Rhinolophus ferrumequinum: one gene and its partner. The protein of the gene in region 1 interacts with the protein of each later gene in a biochemical or structural test. Links are inferred from orthologs where the notes say so. Each region holds a gene or a part of one and is shown on either strand. Other genes may lie near its edges.

Region 1 (10,687 bases):
CGTTTCTTGGGGCTCTTGGTGAGGGTGACTTTGACAAAGTTGTGGAAGGCAGCCGACCTTAGGAGGAAGAAGGGACCAGAGACTGTGTCATCAGACAATCAACCCTGGCTCTGCCCTCCCTTGAATCACCTTCTCCTACCATTTGCCTTTCTCCTTTAGCCGAGGGGGCTGGTAGCCACTCTTGGTCATGAGGAAGAGAACTCTAGAGGAGTGAGGAGAGAACATGGGGTTCAAATTCCCAATGAGGGCTTGAGGGGCCCCCAGTCGCGCTGAGGTCAGCAAAGAGCAAGTGAGGGACAGAATGAGAATGAGGCTTAGGTTTTAGGATGCACTGGGCCGCCACTTCTAGGGGCCACCTCTTATCACACTATAGAGCTGTGGCAGTCCAGAGGGAGGCTCAAAATGGGGATCGCTGAGTTGGGGGTTCCTGGTGTGGAGGACTGAAGAAAATGCTTTCTGGGTTGAGGGGATCCTTGGGGGGTCTCAGACTGGGCTTGGAGAAAGAGGGGTTCTCCCATAGGAGGGTCTTGATGTGGGGAGGCAGGCTGGGGGTGTGTTCAGGGTCAGGAATGGGCGGGGTATCTGGGCTCTGGGGGACCTGCCACACTTGCCTACCTGAGAGGGTGCACATCAAAGAGCGGTGGCTGTAGCTCAGCTAGTTCGATGGCTGTGATGCCCAGGGACCAGATGTCACACAGTTCGTTGTATCCCCCTTTCAGAGCCACAGCTGCCACTTCTGGAGCCATCCTGGGGGCAGAGACCCTCAGAGAGCCAGGGGTGACACAAGAAGGAGGGGGAGGGGAGGCTCCTTGGTGTGGGGATTGGAGGGGGGAGAGAGGCAAAGTAAGAAGGAGAATGGGGGGGACGGGAGATGAGGCATAGAGAGAGGCAGATGCAGAAAGAAACATAAAGATGGAGAGAAAGAGACAAAGAGAGAGACAGAGAGTGAGAGAGATAGAAGAACAGAGACAGAGAGAGGTGCACACTGAGACAGAGAAAAAAGACAGAAATCGACAGATAGGGAGGGACAGACCAGGATACAAATCAACACAAACACTTAGAGAAACAGGTGGAAAGGAGCCCAGAGAGACCTAAGTAAATGGAAAATTCAAGAGAGAGACAAAGAGAAGACAGAATGTTAACAGAGCAAGGCAGATTCAGGGAGAAGGAGCCAGAAGATTTCCAGAGATCAAGGTAGAAAAGGCCCTGCTCCCCACTGCACCCCTAGCTGCCCGCTGGGTACCCCTCACCAGTAGGGTGTCCCAATGAAAGAGAGGCGTCGAGCCAGCGTTGCCCCGATCTGGGCTGAGATACCAAAGTCAGCTGGAGGCAGAGAGAAAAGACATAGTGACCTGGGGTCCCCTGTCCCCTCAGGCCCCCAGCCAGGCCCCCTCTGCAAACTCCCCCAGCCACACTCACCCAGTCTGACCTCCCCAGAGTCATTGATGAGGATGTTGGCTCCCTGGGGATGAGGGAGCATTAGCGGCTGGCAGAGACCACCATTCCCGGCCCAACACTGCCTCTTGCTTCCCCGCCCCACAGCTCAACCGCCCTACACCTTCCAAATAACACTCCCACCTCCTGGGCCCCCCACCCACCACAGCCACCTTTCTGCCCCTAGACCACCTTGATGTCCCGGTGTATCTTCTTCTGTGAGTGGAGATAGGCCAGTCCCTGAGGAGGAGGGTGGGCATGGGGGCTGTAAGAGCCTGGGGACTGGAGCAGGGCCCCGCCCCACCCAGGCCCACCAGGCCTCCACTCACCTGGAGCACTTCTCGGCAGACATAGCTAATCTGGAGCTCTGACAGGGGGCCTGTCACTGCAAAGATCACCCCAGGGCAGCATTGGCTGGGAACCAGGAAGCCTGGCCCTGGGAGCCCTGGGTCCCCGCCCACACCAGCCCAGAGGGTGCCACATGCAGAGGGGCATACAGGAAGGGACAAGTACGTGGGGAGATGGAGGGGTGATCAACGAAAGAAAGAATCAGCAGGGAACCAGAGGCCAGAGGGAGACAGCAGACATTTACTGTGTATTTACTGTGTGCCACGCACTGTGGTAGGCACTGGACGAGAGCAACAGATCCCTGCCCTCCTGGAGAGAACATTCCAGTGGGAGAAGCCAACAGTAAACCAGAAAAAGTAAAATATGCAGTGCAGGAGATGCTCATACTAAGAAAAACAGAGTACGAGGACCACGGGAAACATACATGGGAAGGCGATGACTTGTTACACAGGCTGGTCAGAGAAGGCTACTCTGTGTACAGAGTAAGTGATAGGATGGAGATGTGAGCAGTTCCCCCCCAGAGGAGGAACAAGATCCGGTGCAGAGGCTGGGCGGTGGGAGGGTGTCTGGTGGGCTTGACAAGCAGCGAAGTGGGTGGACGCGGGGCAGGAGATGAGGTGGTTCGGCTTGGGATGCCGTGGTGGTCAGACTCATGGGTCATGATGAGGGCTTTGTTTAGAGGGAAATGGAAGCCATGGGAGGGCCCTACCCGGGGCGATGGGACTCTGCAAAATGAGCAAAGGCAGAGGTACACAGAGACAGACAGACAGAAGCGGGACCAGATCCAAACTGAGATAGAGAAAGAGGTGGTAAGAGACCAAAAAGTGGGAAGACAGACATTTCGAAAGAGAGATACAGAGAGAGGGTGGAGAGGGAATGACAGAGAGAGGTGGAGGGAAAACAGGTCTGACGGTCTGGCTGTGTGAGTTACTTCCTCTCTGTGGGCCTCAGTTTCCTCCCTGAGGACTTTGTAATAAAATCATTCCTTTTCTGACATTTGAAGTGTTGGGCTGGAGGGACACAGGAAGATAGTCAAAGACAGAGGTAGGCATCAGAAATTGAGAGGTGATCAGAGACCCACTCCATCTCCACCATCAAATTCTTCAAGAGCGTGAAAAAGTAGGCCAAGAGAGAGGATCAGATATTCATTCACTCATTCAATGAAAATGTGGGCACCTACTATAGCCAAAAAATGCAGAAATACTCAAACACACGAATAGACGGTGAGAAAATGCAGACATAGAGGAAGATGGGGCTGGACAGAGGGGATGGTTGCATGTAGAAAGATTGGGCTGGACTATCAGGTCCCAGAGGGCAGGGACCAGGGTCCACTCGGTCCCACAGTACCCCCAGCCAGACCCAGGCCCAGAGGAGGGGCTCACTGTATGAAATACGGACCAGAAAAACAGTCTTAGGCGGCACAAACACAGAGAGACAGGAGGGGTGGATGGAGGGGCGGGAGCTTCCTGGATCCCCTTGCCCTTCCTCTCACCTTGGTAGATGTCCTGAAGAGAACCAGCCCCACAGAATTCCATGCAGATCCAGAGCTTCTGCAACCTACAAAAGTGCAAGAGTAGTAATAACAATAATAGTAATAAATTATAATTGATAGGACAGCCCCTGGCTCACTGTCTTGTTCTGAATTTTAATGTAACAGCTGTCATCTCTCTATCTCCCCTTGCCAGAGTGGGATGATCCCACTTCCATTTTATAGATGGGAAGTTGAGGCTCAGAGGAAATGTATGTTCAGGATCAACTGGGCTTGAACCCAGGTCTTTGGGCTCCTAACCCAGGGCTCCCTCCACTGTCCCATGATAACCTCAGAAACAGGGCAGAGATCTCACAACTTGCAGAGGTTCAAAGGGACACAGAGGCCCAAGGTGCCAGGTCTGGGGGACAGAGGTCATTATTGGGGCATCTGGGATATTAAATTGAGGGTCAAGGAATTTAGGGGTTCATATTGAAAGAGCAGAGAGGGAAACTGGGGGATCCGAAAGGCAGGATGATGAAAGATCAGTTTTAGGAAACTAAGTTTCAGATTTGGTTACTATAAAGAGATCAATTTTGGGGACCCATGATCAGAAATGGGAGTTCTGAACTGAGGGTTAGATTAGGCGGTGTTCTGTTCAGAAAAGTGGGAGTTTGGACTGGGGATCAAGTTAGGGATGCCCCAGTAAAAATGGGGGTCCAGAATTGGAGGTCGGGTTAGGGAGTACTCTGGTCAGGAATGGGAGTGCTGGGGTAGGGGCTGGGCGGGGTCCTAGGGCAGGTCTGAGGCTCATCACCAGAGATAACTCCCATGGTAGGCCACGATGTTGGCGTGCCGGCAAGTTTTCAAGATGAGGATTTCCTTCTGAAGTGTGGAAACATCGTCGTCTGTGAGGAGGGGCAGGAGAGAAAAGGCCACTGCAGGGAGGGAGTATGGGGACAATCCCAGTGTCCCAGGAGGTGGGGGTGGGGTGTGGGGAAGGAGCTCCTGGGTTCTCTCCTCACCAGGCTCCATCTTCACCATCTTCAGTGCCATCAGGTCCCCTTTCACCTTGTCTCGAGCCTTGTGAAGGGGAAGTTGGCAGTCAGACAGGCTCCATTCCCCTGAATTCCTCCTCAGCATCCTTGAGCCAATGCCAAGGACTGGGACCCTCTCACATCCCCTTCCCTTCTTGGGCCTCACCCCAAAGGTCACTAGTTGGAGGGTGATGGGGGGGTCCTCACCTTGAAGACTTCCCCATAGGTGCCGCCACCCAGCCGCTGCAGCAGGTCATAGTGGTCCCGGGGATCCCTATTAAAGATGTCCGGGTCCACGAGGTCCATTCCTGGGGGCTGGAGCTGGGCCTGCGCCCAGGGGCCAGCAGGGCCTCAGGGCTCAAATGCTGGCACCTCCCTCCCTCCCCACACTCCCTGCACCCGCCTTGCCTCCACCGGCTGTGGCCTCCCCCTTCCCCACTCTCGCTTCCTGCCCCAGCCCGGCTGCACAGCCGGCTCCACCCCCTGTCCCCTGGGCCCTGAGAGCCTTGAGGGGCAGCTTGCCTTGGGACCCAGGGGACCCCCCTCCACCTTCAGGGCCTGGGGCTGAATGTAAACCAGATGCAAACTATCTTAAGTGTGAGCTGGTGGGTGCCTCAGCACCCCCTCCCCCGTTCTGGGCGGTGGCTGAAAACCACAGATGAACCTCTGCTGAGTGCTGGAGGGTTTGGCCACAACCTAGAGTGGCAGGTTTGCAACAGTAATGCAATGTACGTTACTGTTAACCTGTGGCACATACATGCACTTAGTGATACCCTCGTGCGGTGCAGACCAGTCGACGTGCACATGCCTGGATACCTGCATACACACGTGTTATGTACCCAGAGCACGACACATGCCTGTGCATTCACGCCTGCAGTGTGCAGAATCTGTACCCATAACATGACAGCATACATGGGGCGCTTGCCTTCACCCACAAGACTGGAGTCTATGGGGACTGGGCGCAATCCTGCGGGGTCCAAGAGCCCTTCATCCCCGCCCTTACCGGGCAGAGCACAACAGCTTTGCGGGCCTCTACCCCTGGAGTTAGGGTGGAGCGTGAGGACCAGTCTCCGGACTTGAAACTGCGGAGCTCAAATGCTGCCTCAGGGGTTCAGGCCTGGGGGAAAGGGGCCCTCGGAGAGCACCTCCCTTGGGAGTTGGCCACGGGTCAAAGGGAGCGCTACTACGTGCATTCCAACTCAGTTTCGTGAATTCACTGCCGCGCGAAACGCGACGTGCGCGCACGCGGTCAAAGACCCTTCTCCTTCCCGGAGAGGGCGACCCCAAGTCCGGCAGAGCAGGGAGCACAGCCGGGGAAAAGCCGAGCCCCGCCTCCTCGCCCTGAGAAGGCGCCGGCGCACTAAACTTTTTTTCACGCGCTTGGTCCAGCTCGGGTGGCGCGTATGCGCACGCGCCAATTGCGCCTGTTGGGAAGAAGTCACGTGGCAGCCGCCGCAAAAGCCTTCCCTTTCACCGCCCCTGGGGCTTGAGAGAAAACAGTGACGTATTTCCGTTTCCGCTGCCTCTTCCTTTTCCGGTCCTCGAGGAAGGTGCATCGGCAGGGACTTCGGCTCCAACCCGCGGGTGTGGGAAGCGACAACAGTCATGGCGATGTTTGAGCAGATGAGAGCGAACGTGGGCAAGTTGCTCAAGGGGATCGACAGGTCTGAGCCCGGTCGGAGGGAGCGCTGCTGGCCGAACGGGGTGGAAGAATTTCTGGAGACAGCAAGGGGTAGTCAGAATGCTGGGCTTGCCCTGGCGTGGGATTTCTCCATCATCCTGGAGGAGATGTTTAAGGAAACAGCATTGCAAAGACTTAGAGCCAAGAGATAGCCTTGCCGACCTCTCAGCCTCCCTCTTTAATTGCCTTACGTCCTCTCAGCGCCTCAGTTTCCTCTTTGCCTGCTCCTCAGCCTCTCACTGTGCCTCTTCATCTCTTCCTTCTTTCCCCCTCATGTCATTCATCCAACATATGTTCACTAAAATCTACTGTCGATGCTGGGCAATGCTGGGGATCAGAGGTGACCAAGACAGCTGTAGGCCGTGCTTTCATGGAGTTCTCAGTTCAGAGTCCAGGCAAACTGACAATAGACAGTGATAGTTGGGAGCAGTCAGGGCTGGGACGGGGGAAGCTAGGAAGGAGAGGCTGGGGCTAGACGGGGGTGGGGGCCTGGGGAGAGGAGGAAAGGGTGGGCGGTAAAGATGTCCAGGCGGTCAGGTATACAGGCTGCAATGACTGAGTGGAGTCTGGGGAGGCATCCTAGGCGTCAGACCCAGGGCTGTGATGGAGTTCAGGGCGTAGGCTCAGGTCTGGGATGTGGATAAATTTTATTAGAGTTCATAGAGCTGATTCAAGACTTAGGTAGAGCAAGTGGCCAATGCCATATTTAAAACGAAGGGGGGGAGGAGCAGGTTACTGTCCCCCTACCCTCCCAATAAAGTGACTGGCTGCATCTCCTGTCTCCTCTCCGCTCACCCATCTTGACTCTCCTCTAGGTACAACCCTGAGAATCTGGCCACCCTGGAACGCTATGTGGAGACACAGGCCAAGGAGAATGCCTATGATCTGGAAGCCAACCTGGCTGTTCTGAAGCTGTGAGTGTTTGCCTCCAACCCCACCCCCATGCCAGGGGCTAGCAGGGTGCGACTCCCCACAGCGGGTGGGGCGGGAGTTGGGCATAGCTTGCAGGGTGTGGCTTCTGTTGGTGTGCAAGACTAGGAAGTCAAGGAAGGTAGGGCAGGAGGAGGGATGGTTTTTTAAAAAATTATGAATTACAAATCACCTATAGACTAGTACGTAAAACACACACAGTCAGCTTTCCGTGTCCGTGGGTTCAACTGACTGAAGATCGAAACTATTTCCCCCAAAATGTGATGTTACTGCTAATGTGTACTGTGTACGAGGTGTGATCAAACAGTACGGTGGATTTTTAAATTAAAAAAAAATTATTATAGTAAAAGATGCAATGCCATTAATCCCCCTCAAAATACTCCCCTTTGCTTCAAACGCACTTATCCCATCGTTCTTGCCACTTTCTGAAGCGGTTCTGGAAGTCCTCTTTCATGAGTGTCTTTCGTTGCACTGTCGCGGCTGCCTCGATGTCCTGAATCATTTTGACTTTGGGGAAGTGCCAGAAGTCGCATGGGGACCGATCCAGTTAGTAAGGTGGATGAGGACACAGCGTAATGTTTCTATTTGACAGAAATTGCCGTACCAGAAGTGATGTGTGACACGGAGCGTTGTCATTGTAGAGGATGATATATGACACACTTTAAAACACACCTTCTTTCAACCATAGCTCACACTGGACTGACTGCACCGAACAAGTTGAAACTGGTCACACACTGTTACTAAGGTTTGACCCGCCGCTTCCCATATTGAAGATCCCCGCCTTTCCATTGGGTGGCACTCGGCAGCAGTATTCACTGTATTTTGTGATCACAACGGGAAGGCTTCGTGTCACACATCGCTGCTGGTATGGCATTTTCTGTCAAAAACACTACGGTGTCCTCATCTACCTGATTCACTGGACCTGGCACCGTGCGACTTCTGACTCTTCCCCAAAGTCAAAATGACCATGAAAAGTAAACGTTTTGAATCGATTCAGGACATCAAGGCAGCCAGACAGCGCAACTTAAAAACACTCACAAAAGAGGACTTCCAGAACTGCTTCAGAAAGTGGCAAGAACGACGGGGTAAGTGTGTTTGAAGGAAGGGGGAGTCCTTTGAGGGGGATTAGGGGTAAGTGTGTTTGAAGGAAGGGGTGTCCTTTGAGGGGGATTAATGGCAATGTGTCTTGAGTAATTTTTTTTTTCATTTAAACAGTCATCATATTTTTTGATCACACCTTGTTGTTTGGCCTACGATGTTTACACCTGTATTGAACACATATAGGCTTTTTTTCTTGTCATTATTCTCTAAACGATATAGTGTAACTATTACTTACAAAACATTTACATTGTATTGGGTATTGTAAGTAGTCTAGAGATGGTTTAAGTGTGTGGGAGGATGTGTGAAGCTTATATGTAAATGTTATGTCATTTTATATAAGGGACTTGAGTGTGGATTTTGGTAGGCACAGGGGCTCCTGGAACCAACTCCCATGGATACTGAGGGATTGTATGTAGTTTAACAAGTAATTATAAATGAGTAACCCATGTGATCACCATCCGTACTGCAAAACTGAGGGTTGCCCCAGGCCCTTTGCTGCATAGGTTTTGTGCTGCCGCTCCCACCACTTATGCTCTCGTGGCCTGGCCTTGTGTGAGTTTACCACACATATATGCATCTCGAGTAGCGTAGCTCAGGTTTGCCTGCTTTGATACAAGTGTAGTCCCACAGCACTAATTCTCCTTCTTCTGGCATCTTCCCCTCAGCTCTGCGTCTGTGAGATCCACCCATTTTCCATGTGGCAACAGTGTGCTTGTCATTGCTGTATAGTGTTCCACTGTGTGACTGTGTCCAAACTATCAGTTCTGTTGACGGATGTTTGGGTTCTTCCCTCTTAAATTCACACAGTACTCGCTGTGTAATTTGTACAGATTCATAGCTTCTGTTTTGATCTCTGTAAAATGGCGATAACAACGCTTGTATTTGTGGGGTTGTGTAGAATGTTACTGATGATAACTGCTGCGTAGTGAGTGCTCACCATGTAGCTGCTGTGCTCTAAGCTTTGTATATATTAAGTGCTCACCATGTAGCTGCTGTGCTCTAAGCTTTGTATATATTAATTCACACAGATGCTGTATTGGGAAGGTAGGTGTGGTTGTCACTGTCCCTTTTTGCAAGGGAGGAAACTGACATATAGAGAATTTAAAATACGTAGTTCACGGTCACTCAGCCAGGAAGTTTAAACCCAGGCAGTCTGGCTCCAGAGCCTTAACCACTACTCCAGGCTGCTATTTGTGTACTCATTTTTTTGTGAATCACTTAACAGTGTCTGACTCACCGGGTGGTTGTAAGGATTAGCTGTCCCTGTGCACAGAGCAGGAAAATAGGGTCGGATCAGGGAGGTTAAGGTCACTTAACCAGAGAGTGCTGTGCTTGGGATTGGAGCCCAGGCATGTCCAGCTCCCAGGGTCTAGGCCAAAGCAGTGCACGTAACGTGCCTGGCACCTGGCGAGGCTCTGGGACGTGGAGATGCCACTCCTGCTATGTGTCTTGTTTCCCTTCTCAGGTACCAGTTCAACCCAGCGTTCTTTCAGACCACAGTTACCGCCCAGATCCTGCTAAAGGCCCTCACCAACCTGCCCCACACCGACTTCACACTGTGCAAGTGCATGATCGACCAGGCACATGTATCCTTCCAGCTCTCAGGCCTGGGTGTATGCGGGGCGGTGGGGGACGGGGCAAGGGAGGTGTACTCCTAGGGAAGGCGTCTGCGAGTTTAGCCACAAACACTGAGTACCTACCTGCTCTTGGTGTGGCCTGGTGCTGGGTGGAGCTGGTGTCCTATGGTGCCTGAAACAGCCCCACCCTTACAGAGTTCACAGTCCAGTGGGGGAGACAGGTCCCTTGTCACTGACAGCCTGGAGTCAGGGCTTGGAGGTACGGGGGCCAGAGGGGGCCCCTGCCTGGATGTTAGGGAACACTTCCTGGAGGAGGGGCCATCTGTAAGATGAGTTGTTAAGTGAAACGCTAGAGAAGAGTGATCCAGGCAGAAAGAACAATATGTAGGGAGGCCTGGAGGAAAAGAAGAGCTCAGTGCTCTTTTAGAGGCCACAGAAGTTCAGCATAAGCTGTGTCACAGGTTTCAAAGGGGAATTTGATCAGACTCAGGGCACTGGGGAGCCAGAGAAGACTTTAAAGCTGCAGAGACATGGAGGTACTTAGGCTTTAGGAAGATTCCCATGAGGGTTCCTAGCTGAGTAAAGACAACCAGGCAAGAGGCAGGGGGGGCTGGGGGCTGGAGGCTGGGCACCAGGCAGGAACTGTGAAGAGATAGATTGTCAGTTAAACTTCATTATATTTAGCTTCAGTGCCTATGTGACACAGTGCTGGCCTTTAATGAAAAAAATCAGTGAATTGATTCCCACCCCCGCCCCCTGTCCCAACTGCTTTTTCTTTTTCTTTTTTTTTTGTGGCTGACCAGAAAGTAGCAAAATCCTCCGTAGCGTAACCCTTGGCCAGGTGAGCCTCCAGCCTTTTTTTAATCACTTGAGAAACTTGGCAGAGTCCTCTATGCTGGGCCCTATGCTTGTAGAGCTCACAATCCCAAGGGTGTCACACATACCTGCCCGTTAGTGGCTAAGGTGAGAAACGGCCGCTTACTGAGCCTGCTCTGCCAGGTGTGTCCATGCGAGTGCCTGCCTTCTGAGAGATTGTCCCCCTTTCCCAGGGGTCTCTTCTGGTGGCTTTAAAAAAAAATAGGCATATGATAACGCTGTTAAAAGTACAAAG
Region 2 (9,886 bases), on another chromosome or scaffold:
ATTGAATAATTAACGGCCTTGGAAATTAGCTTTTGCTACAGACTTGATAATGTTCCTTAATTAATTTAACCTAAAATAACAGGGCAAAACAGTGCTTATATGTGAAATGTATACTGCAGAATTTTGTCAGTAATTAATGTTGTTTTGAAACACAAGTAACATTAAGCTGCTTTATACACTTCCCGTGCTGTCAGAAGTTAAAACAAAAGATCTCTCTATTCCCACACAAATTTGCAGCACATATATTTTCTGAACTCAAACTACAGTTCCAGCAGCATTTATAGACCTTGATGCCAAGTGCAACAGAAATTTTCATATTTCAAAATCCATTTAATTATGCAATTGAGGAGATTCTACCTAAACTTCAATTGAAGATCATTAATCTGCAATGTAACAAGTTAAAAGGTAAGTATCAGAAGAATCTAATAAAATTCCATACATGCCTTCTAACAATGAAAATGTTCAATTAAGATCATGCTCATGGATTGACTAGCAGTATTGGCAGTAACATCTGAGTGAAAGACATTTTCAAAGATTAAGTCTATAAAGTCTCGGGTGGCCCGCCGGTTTGCTCAGTGGTCAGAGCGCAGCGCTCGTAACACCGGTCGCCGGTTCAGTTCCCACATGGGCCAGTGAGCTGAGCCCTCCACAACTAAACTGAAAACAACGACTTGACTTGGAGCTGAACTGTGCCCCACACCTAGATTGAAAGAAAAAAAAAAAATGACATGACATGGAGCTAATGGGTCCTGGAAAAAACACACTGTTCCCCAATATTCCCCAATTAAAACAAAACAAAACAGAAATATGTAAAGTATCATTACAGATCAGCACTAATAGCTCACCATCTGACGATAGGGAACACTAGCCATTGAACCCCAATTAAGCAAAATATTATCCCCAAAAAACAATTCCATTCTTCTCATTAGTATACCTGGATTACAAAATGATTACTTAATTACTATAATTTGCATTTCATTTTTTTAAACTGTAGAAATTTTTTTCTTGTTATTTAAGTACTTACATAATATTCTTGATTTTCTTCTTGGCCTGCAAAGCCTAAAGTATTTTACTATCTGACCCTTTACAAAAAATATATATATATATATGTGGTGACTCCTGATTTCTAAAGGGATGCATAGAACTGACTTCTTTGAGATAAGTGTAAGAGGGAATCAGTGTTCTCTAGCAGAAGGATCATTCTGCTCAGAATTTTACTAATGATACTCCAGAGTACTCTGAAATCCAGGAGAAACAAGAAAATTTGCCTTTCAGCCCACAAGTAGCTAAGTGACAAGAAAGTGGACATTACATAAAAGGTAACACAGCAATTAGAAACTACATTAGAAAATGGGAAGAAGAATATGACTACACTTTAAAACACTGGAATAAAGGTCAGTGCTTTCGATAGTGGTTAACAGACCTTCTGGATATGGCAGCTAGGCCTACTTCAGAGATATTACCCTATGAACAAAATGATTATTTTAAATTGTTTGGTATGGAAAATTATAATGGGTATATGAACATTATTTTATTAGTATTGTAGTAATAAAGTAATAGCAGGAAAAAAAGAAATCATCAATAAGCTCCTTTTCTGTTTTAGGAGATAAACTTAGAAATACATGTAAAACATGGGGGAATAGGGACTGAAAAGAACTGATGAATGAGAGAAAAAATTTATTACTTAAGAGGGGAAAAGTTCAAAGAATCAGGTTAATAAATGCAGTAGAAATTGAACAGGTCAGTGAATTCTTATGGAGAGAGCATCTGAGAATGTCTGGCCTTATCAAGTCAGTGAAATAAATACTTCACATACTTCCCCATCGACACGGTCATGCCCCTTTTACCCTCAGCATCATTGCTAGAAAAGAATCTAGGGCAGGAGGAAGGGACAGACACTTGTTCCTCTCGTGTCCTCAGTAAGGCAGCAATGTAGGAAGACTGCCTGGCTTACCCATCAGCCAAAAGGTTGGACCTGACCAGAGAGGGGAGAACAAAAAGTCGGTAGTGGGTCTCAAGGTCGTGTCCTCTGTACAGAGGCAGCCGCAGGGCTAGGAAATAAGGAATCCAGACAAGTTGCTCTAAAATCCTTGTCAGTCCTTTGAATCTAGATTGTAAACTTCTCAGAAGATGAGTGTTAAGTGTAATACCACGTGGAAACCCTGGGAATGAGCAAGCTAAGGCAGAATCACAAATCTTTATATTACAGCCCTTTTTTAAAATGCTTCTTTGTTGCTTATCCATTAATTTCCATTTTATCTCTTAGCATCTAGGAACACTTTTTGGAACTATTTTTAAGCTTCTCTCAGCTGTGCTGAGGAAACATAAAGGAAAGTACTAAAAAAAATTTCTATTGTAAAAATTTCCAAACATATACAAAAGTAGAACAATATAATCCCCCCTACACACACATCATGTCACTCAGTTTCAACAATTATCAACACAAGGCCATTTTTGTTTCACTTTTATCCAGTCCACACCCTATTTCCCACTGGACTATTTTGAAGCTAAAGGAGAGGTATTTTGATCAATTTTTAAGAGGAATTTTTAAAGAGGGGAGCGTGGCATTTTGGCAGCAGAATGGTGGTGCTATCTAAAATCCAAGCTGGGGGACAAATCCAACCCCTATTTCAAGACTGATATTCCTTTCTGGTGCTAGAATCTATTTCGGAGGGCCTCAGTTTCGCTATCAGCAAAACACAGAATATGGACTAAATTATAGGCAGTTGGGTAACAGTGAAATGAGACCTTGACTTCAAGTCAAAAGATCTGGCTTAAGAGTCCATTCAGCTCTGCCTTTTGCAAATTATATAACTTATAAATTATGTAAGTAACACTTAACCTCTCTGAATTTCTATCTACAAAAGGGTACTTCATGGGACTTTGGTTGAATTAAGTAAAACAATGTATTATTTGAAGTTTTGTGAATTAAAATGCGCTATATAAATTCGGTTTTATTGAGTTCTTCAGTTAAGTAAAAGATGACTCAGATTTGAATCTACAAATTAGGAAAACAGTGATGCTATTGACAGAAAAGGAGAAGCTGAAAGGCAAAGTTTAATCCAAATGGAAGACTAAACAGAGAGGGAGACATGGGGCTAAACCTTTGATCCAAATATCTATTTAAAATACATTCATTATGTTAATAATAGGAAATAATTGCACAGTCTCCTTACCCTCAGCAAAATAAATGTTCAGTTTTCTCTAGCTTCTCCCTGTCTTTATCCACCTACATAAAAAAACCATTTATTAAGTATGTATTATGTGCTGGGCATTGTGCTAGGCAGTGGGAATACAAAAAAATAACACCACTGTCTGCCTCCAAGATGCTCAGATTAGGAGACACACTTATTATATAAACAATTATAGTAGAATCGGATAAGAATTAATTTGGGCGGTGACTACTGTTTGCACAGTAATCATAGGGTGTGGTCAGTTTTTGTTCTATTTTTAGAATATACCTGTTTCAGAGTCACCGACAGAGAGGTGACTCCTAAAGCCTTCATCATGGTCTACGAAAAGAGAAGCTGTAGAAAGGTTAAGGACTGAGCTTCTCCACAGAGGCTGGAGACAAAAGTGCCACAGGAAGAGGCTGAGAAAGTATATTTGGAGAGGTGGAAGAAATTGTTAGTGTACTAGGAGCTGGGGGCAGGGAGAAAAGTCTTTTCAAAAAGAGATTTTTAGGGCTGGCCCGGTGGCTCAGATGGGCCTAACTCCATCTCCTAACTCCAAAGGCTGCCGGTTCTTCGATTCCCACATGGGCCAGTGGGCTCTCAACCACAAGGTTGCCAGTTCAATGGTGGGCTCCGCCCCCTGCAACTAGCAACGGCAACTGGACCTGGAGCTGAGCTGCGCCCTTCACAACTAAGACTGAAAGGACAACTTGACTTGGAAAAAAAGTCCTGGAAGTACACACTGTTCCCCAATAAAGTCCTGTTCCCTTTCCCCAAAAAAATCTTTTAAAAAAGAAAAAAGAGATTTTTAGTATAAACACTTAAAGCTAGGTAGATCAATGGATTCAATGGAGATCACTAATGATCTCCAAAGACCAGTTTCAGGCAAAGTAAGGGTAGAAGCCAAACGAAGAAGGCTGAGCAAGGAGTGCTCAGTGAAGTGGGAAAATCTGGCAGTGAAAATCAGCTAGAAAATCAAATGGAGATTTTTCTCTCCACCCTCACACACCCATTTTAAGATCTGCACTTTTTTTAAGGCTATGGGTAGAAGGCCAGGGAGAGACTGAATAAAAATAATGAAAGATTCTTATATGATACTTAATATGTGCCATGCACTATTCTTAGTACTTTACATGTATTAGCCTGTTTAATAATACATGAGGCAAGGATGGAATGATTAAGTAACTGGCCAGAGGTCACTCAGCTAGTCAATTGACTGAGTCAAGATTTGAACCTCAACAGTTAGCTTCAAATTCTGTGCTATTCAAGTTGTACCTGAGGTTGCCTTTTACTTAACAGAAGAACTCAATAATACCTAATTTAGATAGTGCATATCAATTCATGAAACTTCAAATAATACATGAAAGTGTGTGGGCAATTGATGAAAACGTGCTTCTGCTGAGTCACAAAAGGCACCAGCCCATGACCCTTGAGTTTACCCTAGGATGGGCATCACCTATCACCCTATACATTCTAGGACATGTTCAACCTGAAGGAAGGGGATGTGCAAACAGCCAAAATGAAATTGCATTGAAAGAGGGATCTAAGCATGGGTTTGTACTGCGTGCATCTCCCTTTCTGGACATGCTTTCTTTTCTGTTCAATTCAGGGAGTGGTGCTACCAATAATCGGGCACCAGGAACTTCGAGGTTTTTTAATATTCACTCAACAAATATTTGAAAGCATCAACTTAGGGCCCGACATTGTGCTAGGCCCAGAGGTGAACAATTCAGACAAGATCCTCTCTCAATATTTACAATCTAGTTGGAGGGTGGGGAGAACAAAGACTAGGAGGCCAAGGCAGGAGAGGGGTGAACAAGGGGGAAGATTAACTCGGAGAAGCCAGTAGAATCCCTGGCAGGCGAGGCCTTGAGGCCACGCCCAAGAGGCTTTTGTATTTAACTTGCATCAATTCAGCGCCAGTGACCGCCAGATTACCCTAAACACTTTCTAGACCATTTAATCCTGTCAATCCAACCTTTACACCTCCCACTTGTGCCTGTCGGGTCACCGGGTCACTCTGGGTCCCTAGGCCTACAAGGCCTCCTCGGGCCAGGGTCACCTACTCCCCCTATCTAGTGTCGCCTCAGCCCCCACGATCATCTTCTTGAGCCACCTCGGCCAATCCGGGTTTATACTCCCGTCGGTCTCTCTTAGCGCGGGTCTCCTCCGCCGGCCAGGTCACCTCAGTGACACGCTACCAGGGCCGGAGGTTCGGCCAGCGCGTTACGCTTTGTTCCCAGAACAGGTTTTCGAAATGCCTCTCCCTCTCGGCTCCAGCTGTTTTCCTGCCAGTGCGGGGAGACCCGGCAGAGGCAGCGCCCCCGGCGGCGCACAGTGGCCCAGGAAGGGAGTGCCCGCCGCCGCCAACTTCCCCACCTCCTCAGCCTCCTCCCGGAACGCGGGATAGCGCGCGAGCGGCGCACGCCCCGGCCGTCTCGGCCGAGTTCCTGATTGGCTATGCCGCGCGACGTCACGGGGAGGGTCCCGGCGGCAGCTGGTAGGCGAGCCCGCGCGTGCGCAGACTGAGCGCGGTGAGCGGAGGGGGAGGTGGCCGGCGGCTTATCTCGCGTCCGCCATTTTGTTGCTGTAGCTCTTGGGAACCGGCTGGGCAAAACCGCCCTAGAGGCGCGACGCTCTTTGGACTCCGGTGTTTGGTGTGTCAGCGGGGGTTGGCGCAGATCCGTGGGAGCGCAGAGCCGACGCGTTTCAGGTCAGGAGTGACTGGAGGCACCCACGGACGCCGAGCATCCCGAGAACCCCGGGGCGGCCTCTGCTGCGGCTCGGCTTCACCCGCCCCGACCTCAGGCTCTGCCCGGCATTCCCCGAGCCGGCTCCCTCCGTGAGGCGGCCCCGGAGCAGGCGGGCGGAGGCGGAGGATGCTGCGGGCCCAGAGCCAAGAGGAAGGTGCTGGCTCGGCCCTCTAAGCGCGCCTTGAGGTGTGCCGAGAGGCCCTTCTTCGGTCCCAAAGCCGTCTGGCGGGCAAAGGCGTCCAGAGCGGGCAAGAGCAGCCGCCGCCCCAGAGCGCCTGCCCGACACCATGTCCTCCGCCAGGTTCGACTCATCAGACCGTTCCGCCTGGTACATGGGGCCGGTGTCTCGCCAGGAGGCGCAGACCCGGCTCCAGGGCCAGCGCCATGGCATGTTCCTAGTCCGCGACTCCTCCACCTGCCCGGGGGACTATGTGCTGTCGGTGTCCGAGAACTCGCGGGTCTCCCACTACATCATCAACTCGTTGCCCAACCGCCGTTTTAAGATCGGGGACCAGGAGTTTGATCACTTGCCGGCCCTACTGGAGTTCTACAAGATCCATTACCTGGACACCACCACGCTTATCGAGCCCGCGCCCAGGTACGCGAGCGCCCGCAGCCGGGCGCGCTACGCACCCCGACCCCCGAGGAAGGTCGACAGTGGCTGGGTTGGTTCGCTTGGGGTCCATCCAAGAGTGTGTGTGGGGGGGGGGCGGGGAGAGGGGTCATTGAACTCATTTCCCCCTATTCTGAACCAAATTACTTTCCAGAAGCCTTTCGGAAGGGAAGGCTAGTGCCAGGATCTGGGTCACTGTGGATGAAGGGGATGTGTCTTAAACAGATTTAACGGCGGTTGCATAGATAAAATGTACGCGTTTTGCTTTTCATCACATTCTTTATTTGGTTATCATGCTAAAGGAGGGTTTTTGTTGTTTTGGGATTTTTTTATTTAAACCTTTTTTGGATCACAGACTTCTTTGAGAATATTAATATCGCCGTGGCATTCTCCCTCCCCCCAAAAATGCACGTACACACAAGTTTGCACGCCATTCAAGGGTCTTGGACTCCCTGCAGATCTCTGAACTCCAGGTTAAGAACTCTTGGACTGCAGCCTTTGGAACGATCGACAAATGACAATGCTTTAGCGTTTAGGAACAAAAACCTTTAAATGTGAAGTAGTATCAGAACTGTATGTCGATACCTTGGTGCCAGGTTTGAAATAAGCCAGACACATTCTATTTTATCATACATCAGTTACAAAAAAATCTTAAAAGAAGGTGCATTGGCTTCAGTGAGGGCATTTTATTTATTTATTTTATTTTACAGTTTTCCCCCAAGCTGGACCGTTAATAGGCTAAAAATCCACTTGGTTTAATTTCAAGGAGGAATAAGGCTAGAATATTTGCTTACTAAGGGAAATTTTTAAAAGACACTTTAATTCTATCGTAGTTCAGTTTTAGATTTTTTTTGTATTAAGTCTAATGATTTAATACCTTTTAAAGTTAACAACCCTAAGTGACACTGAGCATCAAGCATCCCCTTTTGTAAATAAAATGCATTCTTTTATTTGATTATTTGCTTTAATTTGTCTTAGTCAGTATTTTATCAGATGTTTCTTTCATGCCAGATTTGAGCTGAAATTATGCCAAATTTGAGCTGAAGAAATTGCCTAGAATTTTAAAAATAAAAGGTATTTCACTGTCCAATTTGTTTCTTAAACATCTATTTTAAAAATACAGGAGATTTTGGGGGATGAGATGTTTCTGATTTTATGAATTTGCTGACGAGATTACTCCGAGCTTGAATCATTATAAGGTATTATAATTCATTAAGGAGCACCCTAAGTGTTGGCTTCTGTGGAGTAGAGATAGAGAAAAAAACAAAGCCATGACAGTATAATGACTATGAGATTAACTGCTGAAGTAAATGGACTTTAAAAACTGGGACAAAGTGATTATAAATCAAATACTGTGTAACAAAGACCTAGACACCAAGAATCTGGTGAAACTCCAGGTCCCCGAAGATGCTGGTAATTGGACTCACTTTGAGCACGATATAATTACAATGTAAGGGATAGAATCTTAGAATCCATGGTAGTGAGATTTTGTAATGTGTTTACGTAAATGATTTTCCTAACTTGGGAAGGTGAATCATATCATGAATTTCAGGCATTTATTAAGCCGTGCTATGGGCAAGGCATTGTGCTTTCTTGAGGTGACAGGTACTATATACTATAGCTGTTTCAAAAAGTGTAAGTAAATGGCTTGATAGGCCTCAGTCGCTTCCCACTACCCCCAACAACGACTCCAAATCTTCCATACACTGTGCCTTCGGAGATGTGATCGATGCCTGTCCTCTCCTCCCACCTTGACCGCCGCCCCGCTAGGCCGCTCGCTCATTCCCGGAACCTTTGCGCAGGCTGTTGGCTCTTCAGTGACTGCCTACCCACCCACTCCTCACTTACTGTATTGAAATCCTACCTGTTGTTCCAGGCACCTCTCAAATAATAGGACCTTTCCCTGACCCTCCCCCTCACATTCAGCTTTGATTAGTTCTCCTTCTCTGTGCCCTCCGCCCCAGGCGTGTTGCTGTAATTTAGTTTTTCATTTTCCCTGGTATCTCGGAGGGCCTTCACAATGCTGGCTGAATTAGATCCTGACTGGAATGACTTTGTTATACTGAATCTTTGCCTCTCCCCAGCCTGAAATTCACGGATTTGGTTTGATGTGTTATTAGCCTTTGTAGAAATCTAGAGGCTGGTAAAACCTTGGCCAGATGCAAAAGTCAGTGTAATGATTTTTCACACCCCAAACAGGCTAGATTAAGTGGGTTAGCTTTTTAGGCATCATAACTGAGCTCTTGAAGCCAGAATTTCATACGCCGTGGCTAATAGTTCGTTTTTTTTATTTTGCTCAGCAGAAGATCATAACTGTATGACTTAACTCAGAATTTAAGAATTGGTGCTTGTTTTGTTCTAGTCTGATTTTTTATTGCAATGTTCCTTAACTTTTAATTTTATATTTTTATTCAAATATTTACAAGAAAATTTTATCCCAGAGATAGGGACTAGGAAAGATGGGTGACAGATATTGCTTTCTTCATCGTGGAACTACATTTTAGTGGAGGAGGCAGAAAAGTAGAAAAATAAATAAAATACAAAATTAAGAAATGCTATGAAGGAAGTAAACCTAGGCCAAGAAAATATAATAGAAGGGACTGACTTGAGCTTATGTGGTCAGAGAAAGCATGAAACTACCTAAGGATAGAGAAGAAAAGCAAGCCTTGGAAAGGTTTAGGCTAAGGGGAAGAGTCTTCCAAGCATAGAGAAGAGCTTATGCAAAGTCCTGACATGAGAAGCCAACCACATACTGGGAGTCTGGTTCTTAAAGGAACAGGTTATAAGAAGAGTTTGGAGATACTGTGGTCAAGGTAAGGAAATTGGGTTTTATTTAAAGTGCAGTGGGTGCTGTGGAAGGAGTTTGAAGCAGGGGAGGGACCTGGGGCTGTTACTGTAATCCAGGTGCAAAATGATGGTGACTGATGACACAGTGTATGTCATAGGTCATACAGACATAGACTGACATAGAACACTTTGGCTCGGAGATGCCTATTTTGAAGATAAGATTGATGCTGATGGGAAGGGGATGATGGGGCAAGAGAAAGGAGAAACAGAGATGACAGTGGTGTATTTGCAGCTTTGTGTTCTCTGGGTTTATCTCAGTACTGCAATTGCTTTTTGTATTTGTGGTGTTCTTGTGGTGGTTTTTAAATTTAACCCCCAAACGGTATCATGTCAGATGGCTTTTGTTGATTTTGAATGACCCTAAAGGATTCTCTTTCTGAGGGTGTAATTTTTATATTACAAATCATTTGATAAACAGAAAACCTGTGGTGGTTTTCACTTCCATTTTTTTTTTTGAGCATAAACATTTTTAACATTCCGTGTATTAAGTTATAGTTGTT

The links.
Region 2: the proteins of MAP4K1 (region 1) and CRKL form a complex in vitro, tested with the Homo sapiens proteins (2 studies listed by BioGRID). The link is inferred for Rhinolophus ferrumequinum from reciprocal best matches to the Homo sapiens genes MAP4K1 and CRKL.

What each region holds. Positions count from the first base shown.
Region 1 is NC_046298.1:37,983,699-37,994,385, forward strand, and holds the start of MAP4K1 (mitogen-activated protein kinase kinase kinase kinase 1), read right to left. Parts: upstream 4,650-10,687; 5' UTR 4,594-4,649; coding exon 4,495-4,593; intron 4,334-4,494; coding exon 4,276-4,333; intron 4,159-4,275; coding exon 4,068-4,158; intron 3,340-4,067; coding exon 3,275-3,339; intron 1,820-3,274; coding exon 1,764-1,819; intron 1,675-1,763; coding exon 1,627-1,674; intron 1,463-1,626; coding exon 1,420-1,462; intron 1,324-1,419; coding exon 1,251-1,323; intron 748-1,250; coding exon 616-747; intron 203-615; coding exon 140-202; intron 58-139; coding exon 1-57. Other genes in the region: EIF3K (eukaryotic translation initiation factor 3 subunit K), read left to right, coding at 5,893-5,951, 6,784-6,882, 9,465-9,585. UniProt on the Homo sapiens protein: Serine/threonine-protein kinase, which plays a role in the response to environmental stress. Appears to act upstream of the JUN N-terminal pathway.
Region 2 is NC_046308.1:23,323,884-23,333,769, forward strand, and holds the start of CRKL (crk-like protein), read left to right. Parts: upstream 1-5,713; 5' UTR 5,714-6,213; coding exon 6,214-6,524; intron 6,525-9,886. UniProt on the Homo sapiens protein: May mediate the transduction of intracellular signals.